Sus scrofa: one gene and its partners. The protein of the gene in region 3 purifies or fractionates together with the protein of the main gene of each other region. This does not show direct contact. Links are inferred from orthologs where the notes say so. Each region holds a gene or a part of one and is shown on either strand. Other genes may lie near its edges.

What was found. The genes of interacting proteins can lie anywhere in the genome.
Region 1: the proteins of IFT43 (region 3) and TULP3 purify together in Homo sapiens (affinity purification with mass spectrometry; 5 studies listed by BioGRID and IntAct, counting the BioPlex papers as one, with this or other methods). This does not show direct contact. The link is inferred for Sus scrofa from reciprocal best matches to the Homo sapiens genes IFT43 and TULP3.
Region 2: the proteins of IFT43 (region 3) and IFT140 purify together in Homo sapiens (affinity purification with mass spectrometry; 3 studies listed by BioGRID and IntAct, counting the BioPlex papers as one, with this or other methods). This does not show direct contact. The link is inferred for Sus scrofa from reciprocal best matches to the Homo sapiens genes IFT43 and IFT140.
Region 4: the proteins of IFT43 (region 3) and WDR19 purify together in Homo sapiens (affinity purification with mass spectrometry; 3 studies listed by BioGRID and IntAct, counting the BioPlex papers as one, with this or other methods). This does not show direct contact. The link is inferred for Sus scrofa from reciprocal best matches to the Homo sapiens genes IFT43 and WDR19.

Annotation. Positions count from the first base shown.
Region 1 is NC_010447.5:67,206,959-67,211,779, forward strand, and holds part of TULP3 (tubby-related protein 3), read right to left. Parts: intron 2,743-4,821; coding exon 2,609-2,742; intron 2,233-2,608; coding exon 2,035-2,232; intron 1-2,034. UniProt on the Homo sapiens protein: Negative regulator of the Shh signaling transduction pathway: recruited to primary cilia via association with the IFT complex A (IFT-A) and is required for recruitment of G protein-coupled receptor GPR161 to cilia, a promoter of PKA-dependent basal repression machinery in Shh signaling.
Region 2 is NC_010445.4:40,363,867-40,368,687, reverse strand, and holds part of IFT140 (intraflagellar transport protein 140 homolog), read right to left. Parts: intron 4,801-4,821; coding exon 4,594-4,800; intron 4,481-4,593; coding exon 4,268-4,480; intron 4,194-4,267; coding exon 4,027-4,193; intron 2,785-4,026; coding exon 2,643-2,784; intron 1-2,642. UniProt on the Homo sapiens protein: Component of the IFT complex A (IFT-A), a complex required for retrograde ciliary transport and entry into cilia of G protein-coupled receptors (GPCRs).
Region 3 is NC_010449.5:99,156,932-99,162,431, reverse strand, and holds the start of IFT43 (intraflagellar transport protein 43 homolog), read right to left. Parts: upstream 3,591-5,500; 5' UTR 3,516-3,590; coding exon 3,462-3,515; exon of another isoform or gene 3,383-3,461; intron 2,739-3,382; exon of another isoform or gene 2,632-2,738; intron 640-2,631; exon of another isoform or gene 567-639; coding exon 474-566; exon of another isoform or gene 193-473; intron 1-192. UniProt on the Homo sapiens protein: As a component of IFT complex A (IFT-A), a complex required for retrograde ciliary transport and entry into cilia of G protein-coupled receptors (GPCRs), it is involved in ciliogenesis.
Region 4 is NC_010450.4:30,504,603-30,509,423, reverse strand, and holds part of WDR19 (WD repeat-containing protein 19), read right to left. Parts: intron 2,054-4,821; coding exon 1,894-2,053; intron 1,697-1,893; coding exon 1,586-1,696; intron 1-1,585. UniProt on the Homo sapiens protein: As component of the IFT complex A (IFT-A), a complex required for retrograde ciliary transport and entry into cilia of G protein-coupled receptors (GPCRs), it is involved in cilia function and/or assembly.

The sequences.
Region 1 (4,821 bases), on a different chromosome or scaffold from region 3:
ACCAAAAACAGGTTTCATTCACTTTAATTTTCCTTGCTGAAAAACCCTGAGGGAGTCCCCCTTGTGGCTCAGTGGTAACAAACCCAAGTAGTATCCATGAGGACGAGGGTTCAATCCCTGGCCTCATTCAGTTGGGTTAAGGATCCAGTGTTGACCTGTGGCTCTGGTGTAGGCTGGCAGCTGCAGCTCCAATTCTACCCCTAGCCTGGTAACCTCCATATGTCTTGGGTGCAGCCCTAAAAAAAAGATGAAAAACTATGAGGTGGCCACAGCTGGACAAACACCTTGACGCTGGTCTGCGGGCCAGCACGCCTGCTTTGCTCTAGTATAATCTTCCAAATCTCCTCCTTGTGGGACGTCCCAGGGAGAAGTCAGTCATCTCAGATTCCTGGAGGGATGGGTCTCCTCCAGAGACTTGACCTTCATGTCCCTGACCAGGGAGCCTGGCTTGGTGAGGGGCATCTGCTCCTTGTCCCTGGCCTTGCCTCTGACAGCTCTGTGGCCTTGCCCCTCAGATGCTATTGTGGAGGCCACTGTCTCCAGGCCCAGGCTCTGGGGGTCTCGCTGCCCCATCACAGCATCAGCGTGCCTGCCCTTTGGGCTTTTCTTGGAGACCAGTCTCTAGAGTCCTTACCCCTTTTTCCAACCCTCATAATGCTTCTCAGAATTCACTATCGGGGTTCCCTACTGCACAACTTCTCTCAATTTACTAGCTTGATTCTCCATATAATTATTTACAACTTCATCCCTAAAACCTCCAATAATTTTTCTGAAAAAGCTTCATTGCAATTTCCTGAGTAAGAGTCTTTCCACCTGTGGGAGAGGTGGGACCTGGACATGGGCTTCCCGTCCCCCACTGCAACTGCTTTCCTGCTTCTTTCTGCATTTTGTATGGTGTGCTTCTAAACTTCTGTGACTTCAGAGGTGGGAATACTGTGTATCTTTCCCAAACCCTATTAGACTAGGACAATAACAGGGAAGCAGGAGAGGCAGCAACTGGGGAGGTGACAACACTTTGGAATCAGAGTTTGAATCTGGCACTGACACTTCTCAGTGTGACTGAGAAGGTATGTCACTGCTGAAGTCCCAGCAATTTCACCCATAAAGCAGGACTAACAACTCTTATCTTAAGGAGGAAGGCTGTCATAAGGCTTCTAGGTGCTAACATACATAGAGCATTTGGCACACGCCCGACTCACTGTAAACACTCAATAAACAGTGGTTATAACAACACTGACTCCTGCTATCATTTCATCTCCAGGCTCTTAAAATCATCCACTTAGACCTGGTATTAATACAAGATGCTTGTTGACTGGCAAGTATTAAATTGCCTCAAATTCACATATAAAGTAAACTGGAATTTCTAGGGTGAGAAACAAGCTATTTCACTCTCTTTCCAATTCCTCCAATTCCCTAAAACTCGCTCTGCTTCTTCCTGATGTCATGTTGCACTGTAATAAAAAAAACCAAAGAGCACGCTGGAACACCCCTCACCCCAAAAAAGGGACGAAGCTAAAAATAATTACACTCAAATACTCTCTTCCATCTTTTTACATTCTGGATAAAACTCTTCTTCTTTGAGGTGGGGATAGATCTGACTATTAGACCATGAACTCTTTGAAGATATAGGGAAGACCCAGCACTTGACATGGTGTATACCCCCCACTGCCCCACTCCTAAGACCCATCAACAACCTGGCCCACAGGGGTGTCCCCGTCATGGCGCAGCAGAAAGAATCCGACTAGGAACCATGAGGTTGTGGGTTCGATCCCTGGCCTCGCTCAGTGGGTTAAGGATCTGGTGTTGCCATGAGCTGTGGTATAGGTCACAGATGTGGCTCGGATCTGGCACTGCTGTGGCTGTGGTATAGGCCGGCAGCTGTAGCTCTAATTAGACCCCTAGCCCAGGAACCTCCATATGCCTCGGGTGTAGCCCTAAAAAGCGAAACAAAAAAAAAAAAAAAAAAAAAAAAAAACCCATCCCACAGCACCCTCCCTTCACCACAAGATCTGTCTTAAGAATCACTTCACGCACCTTCCGATTTTCATCCTTTTCCAAGTGCATATAGTAGGTGGGGAAGAGACCCCGGTCCATTCCTTTTTTATCCCTGGTGATGCGACACTTGACTGTGACACCTCGAGGGGCAGGGCTGTATGCGAAGCCCTCCAAGTTGTCTATTTCTCCCAGCTGGTTATCAGTTTGCTGGGCTGCCGTCCCAGAAGCTGCTGTATCCTGAAAGAACAGCCACATGTGAGCAACAGAAGCCTGGGTCAGAAAACCTCACATTCTCTTTGAGAAACACTTAAAGAACAAAATAACTTCTTGATTGACCCACATGTCTTCAGCCTTCTGACAAAATAAGGGAAAACTCTGAGAAGCTAAATAAGTATATGAATATTTAGAGTGATGAAGGAGCAAAGTACTAAAATGGGGTACAGCATCACAGTAGCTGCTCAAGACACAAGAAATTAGGGAGTTGGGAGCTTTCAGTGTAAGTTCCAGCTTAAATCTTGGAAGCCACCCTCATTCAGTAATGGCACTGAAATTCCAAAGATATGTTAGCAAACAGTTAACATTCGTTCCAAAGGCAAAAGTTGGAACTACATACTGTGGTTGGTTTCTGGCTGGATGCAGAACTGGGTCTCTCTGCCTCTGAATTTGGTGAATGAGAACTTAATTTTTTCCCTTCTTCTTCCTCCCCGTCAGTGTCCTCCTCATCAAAGTTCAAACTCCCTGAGATACCTAGCAGAAAAGGAGAAACGTCAAAAAGGGCCAGAAACCTCTGAACCACAGGTAACTTTAACTTTCTTGCTTAAAACATTTCCAAGCGGAGTTCCCATCATGGCTCAGTGGCTAATGAGTCTGACTAGCATCCGTGAGGACGCAGGTCCAATCCCTGGCCTTGCTCAGTGGGTTAAGGATCCAGTGTTGCCGTGAGCTGTGGTGTAGACTGGCAGCTGCAGCTCTGATTCGACCCCTAGCCTGGGAACATCCATAGGCCACATCCATAGCCCCAGAAAGCAAAAAAAAAAAAAAAAAAAAAAAAAAAAAAACACATTTCAAGCTATTCTGACTTAAAACATGGCTACTTTATCCAAATTTTGACAATCCTTTCTTCATAATCTCACCTAGATCCATCCCTTGTTTCCCCCTTCCTACTGTTGCTGTCCTAATTTAGCTCTTTGAAACATTATGTCTGAGAGAAAACATCTGCAATCATCTAATAAAGGGTTAATATCCAGATTAAATAAACTCCTACAACTCAACAAGAAAACAAAGCCAGCTCAAAAATGGGTAAAGAACTTGAATAGGCATTTCTCCAAAGAAGATACATAAATGGCCAATAAGCACATGAAAAGATGCTTAAGATCACTAGTCTTCGGGGGAAATTAAAATCACAAATCACAATAAGATGCCACTTTGCCAGCACTGAGATGACTTTTTTTCTTTTTTACGGCCATACTTGCAGCATACACAAATTTCTAGCCTACGGGTCAAATTGGAGCTGCAGCTGCCGGCCTACACCACAGCCACAACAATGCCAGATCCGAGCTGCATCTGTGACCTAAACCACAGCTCACCGCAGTTACCACTGAGCCACAACACACACTTCCAGGATGACCATTATTTAAAAAAAAAAAAAAACACTAGAAAATAAGTATTAGTAAGGATGTGGAGACACTGAAACCTCTGTGCACTGCTGGTGGCAACGTAAAATTATGCAGCCACTGTGGAAACAATATATAAAAAAATACAGAATTATCATATAATCCAGCAAGTCCACTTCTGGGTATATACCCAAAGGAACAGAAAGCAGAGACTCTAACAGATACTTACACAACCAATGTTCACAGCAGCATTACTCACAACTTTCAAAATGTAGAAACAACCCAACTATCTATCAACTGTTGAATAAACTGTGGTCTATACACACAATGGAATATTTTCAGTCTTAAAAAAAAGGAATGAAATTCTGACACAGGCTGTGACATTAATGAATCGTAATGAATGAAGATATTTAGCTTAGTGAATTAAGCCTGACACAAAAGGACAAATACCACATGATTTCACTTTTATGAGACACCCAGAAGGGTCAAATATATGGAGAAAGTAGTCCAGAGGTTGCCAGGGGCTGGGAAGGGGGATGAGGGGTTAGTGTCTAACGGGGATGAGTCTGTCTGGGAGGATGAAAGAGTTTTGGAGATGCTGCTGCTAATTTTTACAACAATGTGAATGTACTTAATGCCATGGAACTACATACTTTAAAATGGTTAGAACAGTAACTGTTGAGCTATGTATATTTTATCACAACAAACAGAATCAATAATCCATTGTTCTCTCCATTAGTTACACTTGTTTTCCTGAATTTTTTGTTCATCGCTAGCCTAGTTAACTAATTTGAATTGGGAACTTTGAAATACTGCTACTTGGATTTATGAGCAGCTTTTTTTTTAGGGCTGTACCCAAGGAGGTTTCCAGGCTAGGGGTCTAATTGGAGCTACAGCTGCTGGCCCACACCACAGCCACAGCAATGAGGGATCCAAGCCGCATCTGCTACCTACACCTCAGCTCACAGGCAATGCCAGATCCTTAACCCACTGAGCAAGGCCAGGGATCGAACCCTCAACCCCATGGCTCCTAGTTGGATTTGTCTGCACTGCACCACAACAAGAACTCCTATGAGCAAGTTTACACAGAAAATTTCAAACCATCAGATTAAAACCTATTTTTCCATTTTATTCTCACATTTATGAGTTTGAGGAGCGGTACTGGTAAGTCTTACGTTTTGCTTTGCCTCTTGCTTGTTTATGGAACACACCT
Region 2 (4,821 bases), on a different chromosome or scaffold from region 3:
ATACTTATGGTTACCAAGAGAGAAGTGTAGGGGTGGAGGAAGGATAAATTAGGAGGCTGGGATTACTGTACACACACTGCTGTGTATACGCCAGATGACCGGCAAAGACCCACATGGCACAGGAACGCTACTCAATGTTCTGTGATAATCTCTATGGGAAAAGATTCTGAAAAAGAATGAATGTATATATATGTGTGTGTGTGTGTCTGAATCACTTGGCTGTACACCCGAAACCAACAGAACACTACAAATCACTCCACTCCAAAAACAAACAAACAAACACATATTAAAAAGAACAAGGACAGTCTTCTGGTGAAGGCGGGGTCCTCAGACCAGCTCCCCCACAACAGTGATAAACTGGGCAAAACATAAAAGGCTCTGGAGACCCCCCGTGGCTCAGGGGTTAACAAATCTGACCAGTACCCATGAGGATGAAGGTTTGATCCCTGGCCTCGCTCAGTGGGTGAAGGATCCAGTGCTGCCGTGAACTGTGGTGCAGGTTACAGATGCGGCTGTGGCTGTGGCGGCTACAGCTCTGATTTGACTCCTAGACTGGGAACCACCATATGCCGCAAGTGCGACGCCAAAAAGAAAAACAACAACAAAAAAAACATAAAAGGTTCTGAAAAACAACTACGGGCAGGTAGACTAGGGGAACTGGTGTCTGGGCTGAGTTTAATGCTTGTCGCAACTTTTGCCTCAGGAGACACCTGTCAGGGTCACCGTGGGAAGCTGAAAAACTACACAGAAGAGCTCCTGCTGCAGTGCAACGGGACTGACAGCGCCTCTGCAGCGCAGGGACGAAGGTTCCACCTCCTGTGGGTTAAGGATCTAGTGTTGCTGCAGCTGCAGTGTAGGTTGCAACTGTTGCTCGGATCTGATCCCTGGCCTGGGAGCTCCATGTGCCATGGGGTAGGGAGAAAGGAAAAAAAAAAGGTACATGGAAACCCACACATTTCTGGCTGCAAGAACCAGACTCAGAAGTGCATCCGCCGTCTCAGCTGGGGTGTGAGGAAGCAGCAGTTCCCAAGGATGAGCTCTGCCCCGATCCCCCGTGACCCACAGTCCGTGTGTGCCTCCAAGAGGCCGGACCTGAGCAAAAAGACAGCGGAGACCGCAGCGGCTGCTCACACGGGGCAGGAGGGCGCACTGAGACTGAGCTGAACCCGGATGGCTGCCTAATGAAAGAAAGAAGGGGAAGTACTCCTGGGGGAACGTCACGGAACCCGGGCTCTCTGTGAGCCACCCACAGGGACTCGCACACCAGAGAGGTCATCAGACATAAAAAGAAATAGGAGAACCTGACCTATGCTCAAGAGAAAAGACAAATAATGGCGACTAGCTCCATATGAACCAGACGTTTGAATTAGTAGCAAAAAACTTGACAGCAGCAATTATAACTATGATCGAGTGTATACAGGAAAATATGGGGGGTTTTTTGGTTGTGCCTGTGGCATGTGGACGTTCCCAGGCCAGGGACTGAACCCTCGTCGCAGCCCTGACTGGAGCACCTGCAGTGACAACACCAGATCCTTAACCTGCTGTGCTACAAGGAAACTCCAATACATATACATTTTTTTTCTTTTTCGGCCCTTCTGTGGCATATGGAGTTTTTGGGCCAGGGGTCAGATCTCAGCCATAGTTGCAGCCTACGCCACAGCTGTGGCAACGCCAAGTCCTCTAGCCCACTGCGCCGGGCCGAGGATTGAACCTGTGTCCCGGGGCTGCAGAGATGCTGCTGATCCTGCTGCACCATAATGGGAACTCCCAAAATAGGTTTTTAATAAATGAACAAAAAGGATGTTCTAGCAAATAAAAATAAAAACTAAAAGGAGTTCCCATTGTGGCACAGTGGAAATGAATCTCACTAGGAACCATGAGGATTTGGGTTCGATCCCTGGCCTCTCTTGGTGGGTTAAGGATCTGGTGTTGCTGTGGCTGTGGTGTAGGCTGGCAATTGCAGCTCTGACTCGACCCCTAGCCTGGAAACCTCCACATGCCACGGGTGAGGCCTTAAAAAGCAAAAAAAAAAAAAAAAAAAAAAGAGAGAGAGAGAGAGAAAGCAGAGTAGAGAAAGACAGGCAGGCAGGCAGGCAGAGGGGACGCTGGAATGGAAAATGCGGACCCGATCAACATGAGAGCAGACACCGCAGAAGGAAGCCCTGAATGAAACGACAGCAACGCCGCCGCACACCTGCCACCATGCCTGGCCCCCACAGGTGCCGCATCTGCCTGACGCACAGACCCTTCCAAGGAGCTTGGAGCAACCCGAAGCGTGCTAGCATCTGCAGACCAGGGAACCGGTATTTTCCGGACGAGCACCGAGGTGTTCCAAGACCATGGAGAAGATACCAGAGAGCCCACGGGGCTGTAAGGGAAAGCCTAAGAGGTTTCTGCCTCCAAGAAGACCCAGGGGCGCCCCTGCGGGCTGCATCCCATAGCTGGTTGCATCCCGTGGCTCCCATCTCAGCCGGAATAGCCCATTTTAGCGCAGTGAACGCAGAGCGGAGATGGAGTCCAGCCGTCCTCGACCCGCTGGCAGAGGCTCAAAAGATTCGCAAAAGTGGAAACAACACAAAAGCGGCACCTGTGGAGCCCCCCCCCCCCCGCCGTGCACAGGTCCTCGCTGCCCGCAGCCTCACCGTGCGCAGGTCCCCCGCCTGCACGTGGCCCTCCACCAGGAAGCCGCACACGTCCCCGAGGCGAACCGTGCTGTCGGGGCCCAGCTCCTCCAGGAGCAGCTGGCCCTGCCTGAGTGCCTCCTCGGGATCCTCGGCGTACATCCTGCGGAGCAAAGACGCCTGAGCCCCACCCGGCACGCGGGCTGCGGGTCGGAGGGCAGAGCGGGCTCTCGGGGAGGGGATTCCCTGAAGCTGAGGCAATTCGTTAACCAGTCAACTCACAAATTCACTAACTTAAGAACAACGCCAAAAAAAAAAAAAAAAAAAAAAAAAAAAAAAAAAAAGGAGTTCCCGTCGTGGCGCAGTGGCTAAGGAATCCAACTAGGAATCATGAGGTTGCGGGTTCAATCCCTGGCCTTGCTCAGTGGGTTGGGCATCCAGCGTTGCTGTGAGCTGTGCTGTAGGTTGGATCCCGCGTTGCTGTGGCTGTGGTGAAGGCCAGCTTCTACAGCTCTGATTGGACCCCTAGCCTGGGAACCTCCATATGCCGCGGGAGCGGCCCAAGAAATGGCAAAAAGACAAAACAAAAACAAAAACAACGCACTGCTTGGTCACAGTGTGGGTGCTGGCACCGCCACACCAGACTCGGGACTGCAGGGGTCGTCAGGCAGGCCAGAGGGGACAGCGGGGCAGGAGCTAGGGCGTGGACAGGGCTGTCACTGTGTGGGGACACTCAGGCGGGGGCAAAGGCCAGCGTGGCGACACGATGCGTGGTCCGCCTGCCCAGTGGGTGGGGTGCGTGTGGGCCCTGCTGGGAACAGGGCTTTGGACTCGGTCCGGGGCTGGTGGTGGAGGCAGGACGGCGGGGCAGGCCTGCCCTCTGGCCCTCCCGCGGTCTCTGCCGCCAGTTCCCCTGCCCCCTCCCTCCCGCAGCCCAGGCTCTGCGGCTGCTCCTGAACCCACGCATCCCAGCGGGGAAGCACCCTTCACGGAGCCCCGCTTTGCCATCCGTGTTCTTCTTTCAAACGCCCATCCTCAGACAAGGAGAGCACTCTGAGCGGTTGAGGCGGGAGCTGCGCTCTGCTGCCCCAGGGCCCCGACACGCTGCAGGGTGTCGGGTTAAACAGGGGGGCCCTCTCTGAAAACGGCCTGCGCGCTGCCCTCCAGAAGCACCTGCCCGAGCCCCGCTCGCGCCCGGGCAGGCCCGGCCCCCAGACCCCGCCTCCCGACCCAACCACGGCCCTTGTCCTCCGTGCTCTCTGAGAGTGGCCCCAGGCTCTGAGGGAGCCCGGAGAGCCCAGGCAGGCGCGCGGCCTCGGGGCTGCCCTCCCCCCTCCCCCTGCCCCGCCGCCGTCCAGCTGTCTGAGGACGTCCTCAGAGCGTCCCAGCGACGGCGACGACGCACCTGCGGGCTTGCATGAAGCGCTTCACCAGCGTCATCCTGCTCTGCAGCTGCGCCAGCCGGGCCTCGTGGTCCAGGGGGCTCCGGGCCTTGGCCTTGGCCAGGCACTTGTAGGCCTCGGTCAGCGCCCCGTGGGCCTTGTCGTAGTTCTGGTACTCATCGACCTCCACCTGCGCGAGGAGGCATCAGGACCCCCGGACCACACGCCGCACCCCACTCAGGGCCCAGGAGGGGGCGCGTCTACCTGGGCGCAGGCGTCGTAGAAGCCGGCCAGGAGCTCGGGGGCGCGGCCCCTGGTGTAGAAGCTGATGATGTTCTTCATGATCTCGGGGTCCCGCCGCCAGTCCAGGGACTGCAGGTAGTTGGCGGCCATCACGTAAACCTCCTTCTGCCTCGAGACGCCCGCAAAGAACACGATCTTCTCCGTGTCCCCAGACTTGAGCAGCGCGCGCATGGCCTGGACAGAGGACAAGCCGGGCTGGGCCCTCCTCCGAGTAGGGCTGCGGGACGCGGTGCCCTCCAGCCCTGCCCAGAAGTCATCCCCGTGGGGGCGGGGGGGGGGCCGCTCACCTTGAGCCGGTCGCCAGCCTGCGTGTACTTCTTGGCAGCCAGGTGGTAGCTGCCCTGGCGCATGCAGCAGCTGGCCACCTGCTCCAGCAGCTCACGCCGCGACTCTTCCGACAGGTCTGCGCAGTCCTTGGCCACGGTCATCTTCTCCGCCATCTCCTCTGTGATGGTCAAGTTCTGCTCCAGGCAGAGCTGCAGGGCTTCCTGATACTGCGAAGACGCCGCAGACGC
Region 3 (5,500 bases):
GCTGGATAAATTCCCACGATTCCAGGCCACTTGGAAAAGTTTCCAGGAAAGCAAGGCCAGGGCAGCTCCCCTTCCTGCCTAAAAACTGTAGAAAGCGCGGGTCACCACAAACGTCCAGTTGTGTAATCCAGCTTTTACGTCAGCGGCATGCCTCCCTGGCATTTGGCTGGCAGGAATAAAAACCCGGATTTTGAATCTTCCCAGTCCCTCGCTTCAGCTAACGTACAAAACGTCTTCCCTGAGACTATAAAGCGATACACAGCCACGACTCTGGCATCAAAAGAAAAAAGTTCCTCTTCCGTTTCTTGCTAACAGGCCCAATGCCGGGCAAGTGAATTCCCCAATCAAGACAGGAGGGAGGCTGACAGTAAAGAGAAGAAAGAGAAAAAAAAACACATGAGAGACCAAATCCTTGCTCATTGAGTAACCGCTAACAATTAGAGTGCATTTCTTCAGAGCTTTTTAACACTCACCTCTGCAGTCAGAGGGGAAGAGGCCGTCTTGCCACTGAGATGGTTCTCGGCTTGAGCGGACTCCTGTTGAGCTCGGCGCCCCATCCTGGGCCCCTGTAAGGAGAGATGAGGGGCACTGCTGACCCAGATGTCTCTGAGCCACTATGAGGAGGACAATTCTGCAAAGGTAAGCAAGCATGGGCTTCACGGTGACATGGGGAGGAAGGGATTTGAGCAACTTGACTGAAAACTCAGAAAATGCCCCAATCCTTACAGCAAAGCACCCGAGGTCCGTTCTAGATGGTAAAACAGGAAATCCATGGGGGACCACCGTGTTTTCTGTTGACAGCCACAGACCTTTCCTGCCCATGAAAAGCAGCTAGAAACTCCCCTAGAAGGGGCACCGACCTCATGCCACAGCTCGGGAAGAGTACGGTCAAGGCCCCCATCTTCCTATGCGGGAGTTGAGGAAGGCTTACCCTCAAAGCTGCAGCTCGGCATGAAAATTGTTATCAAAAAGGCTTTGGGGAGGGGGCAGCAATTCTCTGGGAACTGAAACCGGAGAAATACAGATAGCAGTTGCTTTGACGTGTGCACTAATTGGATTTGCACTTACAGACATTAAAGAAAAAGTACTGACAAGAATTTTGAGACATCAGCTTTGGAAATCAGAACATGCCAAATTCTGAGTCATGAAATGAACCCTTTGCAGGTGTTTCCCAAAGCTCTCCTGGGGTGCAGGCTTTGTCTCAAAGGCCTCCAAGCGTATACACAAAACTGTATTGAGGCAGACTAGTGGGTGTTGAAATGTTTATATTTCTCATTTTTTGCTTTAAAAAAAAAACAGCATTAATGTAAGCACTTTTGGATCTCATTGGACTTCACAATAAGAGAGACTGAGACTGAGGCCTTTTACAAATGAGGAAACTGAGATCCAGGAAAGCAACTAAGTAACAGATAAATCCAAGAGCAGAATCATCTGCCTTCTAACCCTGAGTTCTTTCCTCTACACCCTGCTGGAATTTCAGTTTTAAGATGTTCTAAGAACTGACTGCACCAATACATTGAGAGCTGCATAAACACCCTTATGTAATGTTTACATGTCAAATTCTAAGTAATCATTTTGGTTTCAGGGATGATAGAAACAGCCTTTCTGACAATAAGCAGCTCATTTTCTTCCCAAGGTAGACAATCCCACTTTGTCTGTGGGGTTGTCTATGGCTGCCCTTTTCCATTTACCATAACATTGGGTATGTGATCCTGGCATACAACATGCAGTGACTGTGCTCCAACAAAAAGTCAAGGATCTTGCCTCTCAATGCTGTTTATAGATGGTTTCTCCAATAACTGTCACACAGTCTAAGGTTTTTAAAAATTCCAAAGACCCTGTATAAATCCACTGGAATGACTGAGAAAAACTACTCTCTGGTTTTATATATTTCAAAGTAGAGTCTGTTTACTGCCTGTCCTCTCACTGGAACATGAGCCCCATAAGGGCAGGGACTTAAGTTTTGTCACTCTTGTATCTTCAGCACCTAAAGACAATCAATGCTGGATACACAGATGGGGCTCAATAACTATCTGTTGAAAGAATGAATGAATGAGAACATTTATAACCCCCAGGTACTAAAAAAGTGCACGGATCCGAAAGGTCTGATGACCTAATATTCTCCTTGATCAGTCAAGCAATCCGCTTCGCCCTAGAGCAATTTGCTCCTGTTCCTCATCTCTCTCCTCTAGTAACTTAGAGGACATCAGATGGGGCCCTTCAGAACTCATAGAGACTCCACAGCAAAACTAAAGACCTGCCCGTGAGCCAATCTTTTTTTTTTTTTTTTTTTTCCCGTTACTTGGGCCACTCCCGCGGCATATGGAGGTTCCCAGGCTTGGGGTCGAATCGGAGCTGTAGCTGCCGGCCTACGCCAGAGCCACTGCAACCCCGGATCCCCAACCCGAAACTTCATGGTTCCTAGTCGGATTCATTAACCACTGAGCCACGACGGGAACTCCCCGTGGGCCAATCTGTTAGTGACTGCGATCTTCAATAATTTTAAAGGTAAAAAGGCTTGATGGGGCTGTGACGAGTTAAAACACACATACACATACACACACACTGAACTTGGGTCTTGAATATAGCTGTTATGTACATATAACCTTGAGTAAATCAATAGCAGCTAACCTCTTCTAATATCTCAGCACATGCCAGCCACTGTATTAAATGCTTTCCACACACATCTCATTTCATCTTTCCCGCAACTCCTTAAAGTCGGTATCAGCATCTCCATTCTAGAGATAAGGAAATTGAGGTTCCAGGAGGTTAACTTCTTTTAACCCAAGCAACAGCTTTATACTCCCTCTGACCTCTGGGCTCCACCCCCACCCCCAGCACCTAGACTTTCCCCCACGTTATAAATCTGCTTCTTGATTTCCTTAACTATAAAAACTGAGGTAATGCCCCCCTACCGCCCCAAGGGAATTAGTGGCAAGAAAGGCCCTCCCTGTCTACCTGCCTTCTGTCTACCTGCCTTCTTTCCTTCCCTGAATAAAATCGTACGGTTTTCACAAAAACCTCTGGCATGACAAGTCTAAAGGGTAAAGCTCGAGGAGGAATGCAAGTGCGACCCTGACCAGGGCCCCTCCAGTCCGTCACCCTCAGATCTCCCCATTCTATGGGAGTTGGCGTCTGGACCTCCAGGGAGCGGAGAGAACCTGGGAAATGTCCCACCGGTCCCAGAGGCCGGCAGAGGCGGAATCTGTTTTCCACTTTTTGAAGATTTTAAAGAAAGCAAATCCTAGCCCAGCAGCGGAGGAGCTGCTGCCCCAGGGGCGGGACGAGGGAGGCCACCTCCTCCCCGGCCTCACCCACCCCACCGCCGCAAGACTCAGGGCCCGCCAGCTCCCGCCTCCCGGGACAGGCTGGGCCGAGGCACCTCAGGGAAGCCGGGGCCGGCGGGGTCATTCCTGCCCACCCGCCAATTGCTGGCCCCAAGCCCCCGAGTCGGTCCTCACGGAGAAGGCCGAGCCGCGACGCCGCTCCTCGCCAAGGTCCAGCACGTCCTCCATCTCCACGGCCGCTTGGCGTCACTTCCTGGAAACCCAGCGGCCTACTCGCGTCCCTGACGACGGCTCCGCCCTTCCATCCCCCTACTTAAAGGGCCCGCCGCATTGTTCTTGGATATGCTAACCTCCAGTTTAAACCAAATCTTTCTAAACCTTTTTTGTTTGACTTCTGGAAGAAATCTCCAGATCTTAAATTCTGCTAAGGGTGCTCCTGTGGTACAGTGAAAACTTTTAGTCCTTAGAAACTGCCTACATCTGTTCCAAATACATAAGTTAAGGGCCAAGCACTACTACTAGCAGTAGAGATTACCCCAATTCCTTCCATTTGTGCAGCTCTTTGCAATGTACAGAGGATCGTCACAGTTGCTAACTCATGTGAAGGGCATAACACCTTTGTGTGGGAAGCAAGATAAGGTGTATTGTCTCCACTGGGTAGATGAGAAAACAGGCACACAGAGGGTCAGGTGCTAATAAATGGTTTATAATGAAAAGTGCGATATATGTAATCTCTGCCTGAAGTTTACAGAGAGGCTGAACCAACACACCCAATACCTGAGTATTCATAATTTTCAAAACTACAAATAATCCCTCCAGCACCCTTTGAGGTGATCAAGGGCAGTATCTCTATTCAACAAGTAAAAATATTCAGGTGCAGGGCGGCGCCTTGAGGAAAATCACCTGAGTGTTAAACAGTAGAGCCAAGTGCCTTTCTTCCACCAGATTTTACTAAAGAACTTTCCTCTAGCACGTGTTCCTGGGTGCCACCCATTCTCCCAGGCCAGCAGAGGAAGATGGCCCTCAAACTCCCAGCCTAATGAGAAAAGTCAGTTGAGCCTTCATTAGCTCACCCTGTAAGACCCCCAGGTCAATATTACTGACCAGGCCTTGGTATTGGGGAACCCCAGCTTGGACCCCCAGATGGGCTTATCGCCCTGAAATTTGCAACCTACCCCACAGCTTCAGCAATGCTGGATCCTTAACCCACCATGCCGGCCAGGGATGGAACCGAGCCTCAGGAGTGACCTGGGCCGTGCGGAGACAGCAATGGATCCTTAACCTGCTGTGCCACCATGGGAACTCCTGAATTTTTCCATTTCTTGTGAGCTCTATTAAACAATAATCAGTATCAGGGCTGCAAAGAACAAAGAGCTTTATTGGAGGGCTATCTTAAGAATTGTTGGGAGACAGATTCTGGTAAAATCAAGAGTGTTCCAGGGAAAAGAAAGAGTCAGGGGCTTACAAAAGGCAAAAGTCATGAGGCTGTTCTCTGCTACTACGAGAAAGGAAATGTTTGTCCTTAAGGAATCACGAGTTACTTCCGAGTAAGGGTCTGATAAGTAGATAGGCTGTCACGAGTTATTGTAAGGTAGGGGTCTGATAAGTATCTTGAGTTTCTGGCAGATCTTCTGGATGCCTTCATTAGGACAATAAGTGGTCAAAAGGTCAGATTTTATCCAGGCTGAGACTTACATAATTCACACTCCCCCAGTGACCTTTTAGTTCCATTGTAGAGAGCTTTCTTAGCAAGAGCGACTCTATTTCTTTCTTTCTTTCTTTTCTTTACTTTTTTTTTTTCTTTTTATTTGCATTTTAGGACTGCACCTGAAGCATATGGAATTTCCCAGGCTAGGGGTTGAATTTGAGCTGTAGCTGCCAGCCTACACCACAGCCACAGCAACACGGGACCCAGGCTGCATCTGCAACCTACACCACAGCTCAGGGCAATGCCAGATCCCCGACCCACAGAACCAGGCCAGGATCGAACCTGCATCCTCATGGATACTAGTTGGATTCATTTTTACTGCACCCCAACGGGAACGCCTGAGACTCCATTTCTATCTTCTTCCACAGCTGCACCATCACCACCTTGGGGCCACTTTCCAAGCCTTCACTCCTACTTCTTCCCTGACTTCCTGAAAGCAAGAGGTGCTCACTGTGTGCAGAAAGAGGCCCTGGAGTAGTGTCTTCCAAACCTTGCACTGACTCAC
Region 4 (4,821 bases), on a different chromosome or scaffold from region 3:
TGGGGTTGTGTCTTTCTCCTTGGCTCCTGAGGTCTTTTATCTGTGTCTGGTACACAATTCCACAGACTAACTCACCATTAAAGAGTAAACCATTAGTCTTTGGGGCTTCACTCCCGGATTGAGTCACCCTTTGCGAAGAATGAACACTGGTTAACGTTTTACCAGTGCTAGTTTCTGCCAGAGTCTGTTCTAAGACAGGAGCCTACTGGCTTTTCACAACCAGGCCTTTTGTAATGAGCTGTTCTTGTGTCCATTTTAGAGATCCAGACACTGAGGTAAAGAGCCTCGTTCTGTACATGAGGTCACCTTGTTTGTGTGTGTGGCAGGGCTGCCAGTCGGGCTTTGCCTCTGACCTCTTTACCCACCTAACTTGTCGGCCTTCAAAGTGAGGTTCAAGGAACGACAGGGTCCAATCACCTCTCCCGCTGTGAAGCTGTCCCCTCAAGTCCCTTACAAATCCAGCAGCACGTGGCAAGTGTCCACAGCCAGTGCAGAAGGGCTAAGGGGACCTGATTCCCCTCAAGTCTCCCTCCCCCAGGGCAGCCGTGTTCCTCCTGTGTGCACCCGGCCAGCTCAGAAAATTCCAGGGCGCCCCCTCAAATGATACTGGAACATCATCTCAACTTTCTTCTTAAAATGCATTTAGTTCCCTTAAAATTTAAAAATGAAAATCTGCCATAGAACAATTTAAAAAAGAGAAACGTGAGGTGAGGAGCACACACGCTTTCCTCTAGGCAGCTGTGGAAATGCTGCCCGAGGTGGAACAAGGTGAGTGACCACGGCCACCATCGCTGGGTCTTCACAGGCCATCAGGAGCTGATCTAAGAGAGCGCATCTCATTCTGAAATCCTCACAACAACCTTGTGGGTTAGATACTGTTACCCCTCCTTTATTTATTTATTTACTTTTTAATCTTTTAAGGCCACACCCGCTGCATGTGGAGGTTCCCAGGCTAGGGGTCCAACGGAGCTGGACGCCAGAGCCACAGTAATGCCAGATCCGAGCCCTGTCTGCGACCCACACCATAGCTCACGGCAGTGCCGGATCCTTAACCCACTGAGGGAGGTCAGGGATCGAACCTGCATCCCTTATGGATGCCAGTCAGATCCATTTCCACTGAGCCACAACAGGAACTCCTTGTTACCCCTCCTTTAAATGGGATCCAGAGCACAGAAAGATGGACTCACTCATCCGAGGCTACACCGAGTTGGGATTTGGGATTTGAACCCAGACATGCCCAATGCTGAAGTCCACGTTCTGATCTGCTACCGCACCCCACCCCTGCGCCCCGCCTCGGTGCTCCTCTTCCCTGCCTGTGCGAGGTCCTCCCCTCGGTCGGGTCCTTCTCCTGCATCCCTCACCCCGAGGAAACTGGTAGTGATACACAGGCCTCTCTTCATGCACAAGAGAATTTTACACAATAAATAAAACACAAATGCACCTCAGTTTTCCCCTTTGGAAAACAGAGAAAGTGACAGTCTGAATTCGAAAAGGAGGGAGGCACATGGTGTTTGGCGCAGAGAGATCTGAACTCCAGAAAAGGGGAGACCTCTTCGCACGTCCCTCCCCGCATTTGCTGCCATACCTCCAGGGCGGCCACGGGGCAGCTGGATGCCAAGTACAGGTCCTGAGCCAGGTTGAAATCACTAGTAAACATGGCAAGATGTCCTGCCAAGAGATGACAGTCCTCTATTCCCTGCAAACAAGAGCAGTCTTAATGAGAAGACATACCACGGTTTGGTTTTTATTTAAGCACTGGGCTTAGGAGGCAGGGGCAGTGGTCCATTAGGGAACCCATCTAGGAGGTACGTCAGATGAACTGCAGAGATTTTAAATATCTGGCTAAATACCATTTGAATGCTCATCTGATAATTCCCATACGATGCTGTTTACCTTTATCTGTTCCAAGGACATGACCATGCCAACGTTTCCGATTGTCCGATACACGCGGATGGCAAACTCTACTTCCATGTGGTATAGACAAGCTCGGGCCAACTCATTCCAGGCGGCATGATCATTCAGAATCTTGCAGACTTCCCAAGCATCAGGAAACCTAGCATATGAGTATATAAGCTTAGTCAGGGAGCTCTATTTTGCCCCCTCTTAGGCAATTTTCAGATTATGTACAATTGTAATGTTGTGCTCTAGATAAATTTTGCAAAAACATTCCTTAATTTTTAATTGTCACTTCCAGGTTATGAAAAACTACCTAAGCTTTCTTTTTTGTGCAGATGTTTTTTTCTTGAATTTCTCGTAACTACTGAAATCCACTCTGTGTAACCGCCTTACCTCATCAGCAACCAATTCTATTTACTCATTTATTTGTTGGTTTACGTCACACAGAGAAAAAAATTACTCCTGTTCTCATATAAGTCTCATAAAATTAGTACTCTATTCCACAGATTTGGAAATTTGAAACGAAGATCAACCAATTATAGCCTGTGGGCCAAATCTAGTCAGCTGCTTGTTTCTGGAAGTAAAGCCTGAGTGGAACACAGCCACTCACCCATCCCCTCTTCACGGCTGGTCTTGCACTACAACAGCTGACCTGAGTAGCTGTGATTGACCTTAAAGCCTGAAACACCCTTTGGACCATAACATGAAAAGCTTGCTGACCTCTGGTGTAAAATGTAACCACAGGAGTTCCCCTTGTGGCACAGTGGAAAAGAATCTGACTAGGAACCCTGAGGTTGCGGGTTCAATCCCTGGCCTCGCTCAGTGGGTTAAGGATCCAGCGTTGCCATGGGCTGTGGTGTGGGTCACAGACACAGCTCGGATCCTGCACTGCTGTGGCTGGCAGCTATAGCTCTGATTCAACCTCTACCCTGGGAACCTCCATATGCCGCGGGTATGGCCCTAAAAAGCAAATAATAAAATGAAATAAAATAAAACATAACCATAAATGGAACCCCTACATTAATGACTATACTACCCTTCCCTGTCTGTTCACTGATGCAAATTTCCATCCAACACACTCACTGAGCATCATCTGGTGCCAGGAACTGGGCCTGGACCCAAGATGTAAAGTCAAAAGCAGTCACTGTCCTTTAGGTGGTTGTACTTGGGGAAGGTGGAAGAGACAGGTAAGTGAACAAATGACTATGACAGGGTATGGCAGAGGTGACAGAGGGCCTACAACATGTGAACCTTTGTGCTAAGCGCTTTGCACACATTCTCTCATTGGATCACCCTAACAACCCTATCTACTAGTTATTATTATTTCTCCTTTATAGGTGATCAAAGTGAGGCCTCAAAAGACCAGCCTGAGTCACGAGTGGTAAGAGGTAAGAGGCTCTAAACCACCCTGCATGCTGGATCCGGGCTCCGAGGCAACACTTCAAAAAGGCCCCAACCCACAGTGCCAGTGGCCGGGCTCGGGGAAGCCTTCCTGCAGCAGCAGAGGGCTCTGCTGCTGGCAGAGGGTGAGGCATTACCCCCACGAACAGAGACAGGGAGGGGCGGTCCAGGACCAGAACACGGCACGTGCCAAGGTAGGAGATCATGAAACATACTGAGTTCCAGCAGCTGGTGAACAGAGAGGAGTGGAGGGGACGGCCGAGGCTGCTATTAAATCAAGTGAGCGGTGTGCCATGCAGGTCCCCAAAGAAGTGGGGGTTTCTTCCTAAAGGCAATGGGAAGTCACTGAAAGATCTTTGGCAGGGAAATAAGTGGATCAGACTCACATTTTTGAAAGTGTGTGGAGAATGGGTTAGCTTGTCATGGGTCTCCCAGTGGAGAGCAGTCAGGAAGGGGTTCTGTCATACGTGGCTCCACGCGAGGGCCGGAGTCAAGGAGTATCAGAGCGGAAAAGGATCTGGGGTGTGTGTGCGCAGGTGTGTGTGTAGGTGCAGAGTATGTGTATGTGCAGGTGCGTGTATGTATGTGTGTGGATGCCGGTGTGTGTGTAGGTGTAGTGTATGTATGTGTCGGGGTAGGTGTGTGTGGGTGTAGGTATAGGTGTGCATGTTTGGGCATGTGCACCATGTGATTAAGGGAGGGGAGAAGAGGAGGCTGGGGCAGATTTTTTTTTTTGTGTGTGTGTGTGTGTGTGTCTTTTTGCCTTTTCTAGGGCCACTCCTGCGGCAAATGAAGGTTCCCAGGCTAGGGGTCGAATCGGAGCTGTAGCTGCCGGCCTACACCACAGACGGCCACAGCAACTCTGGATCTGAGCCACGTCTGGGACCTACACCACAGCTCAGGGCAACGCTGGCTCCTTGACCCACTGAGTGGGGCCAGGAATTGAACCAGCATCCTCTTGGATACTAGTTGGGTTCACTACTGCTGAGCCACAACGGGAACTCTGATAAGTTGTTTTAATCAGGGCAAGTTTGAGCAACTCATGGACTTGCAACTGCATGTGACTGGGAGGCAGTGGGAAATACAGGTTTAAGTCAAGGACACACATTTTGGGCTCAGCCTTGTATAGATGGCATTGAGGCCATCTTTGGGGAGATTCACTCAGGAAGAATGACTAGAGTGAGAAGAAAGGGGTTCAAGGTACCGTGAAGAAGAGCAACATTTAAGAGAGGATGGTCAGAAGAATTAGAACCACAAAGGAATTCACAGCGGCCCTCAGAGGTAAGAGGAAAAAGCAGGAAAAGGAAGGCTCAAGTAAAGTAAAATCGAAATTTCTTAGGATGAAATTAAGACAGTTTTGAAATAATTGGGTGTATTCGAGTTTCACAATAACTGTGCTATTTGGGTGATGAGAAACCTCTTTGTTCTGAAGGACTTTTCTTGGAATAAAGCATCTATGACACAAAAGGACTTCCTTCAGAATTTACATACATTCTCATATTCATCATCTTATCTGAGCCTCAC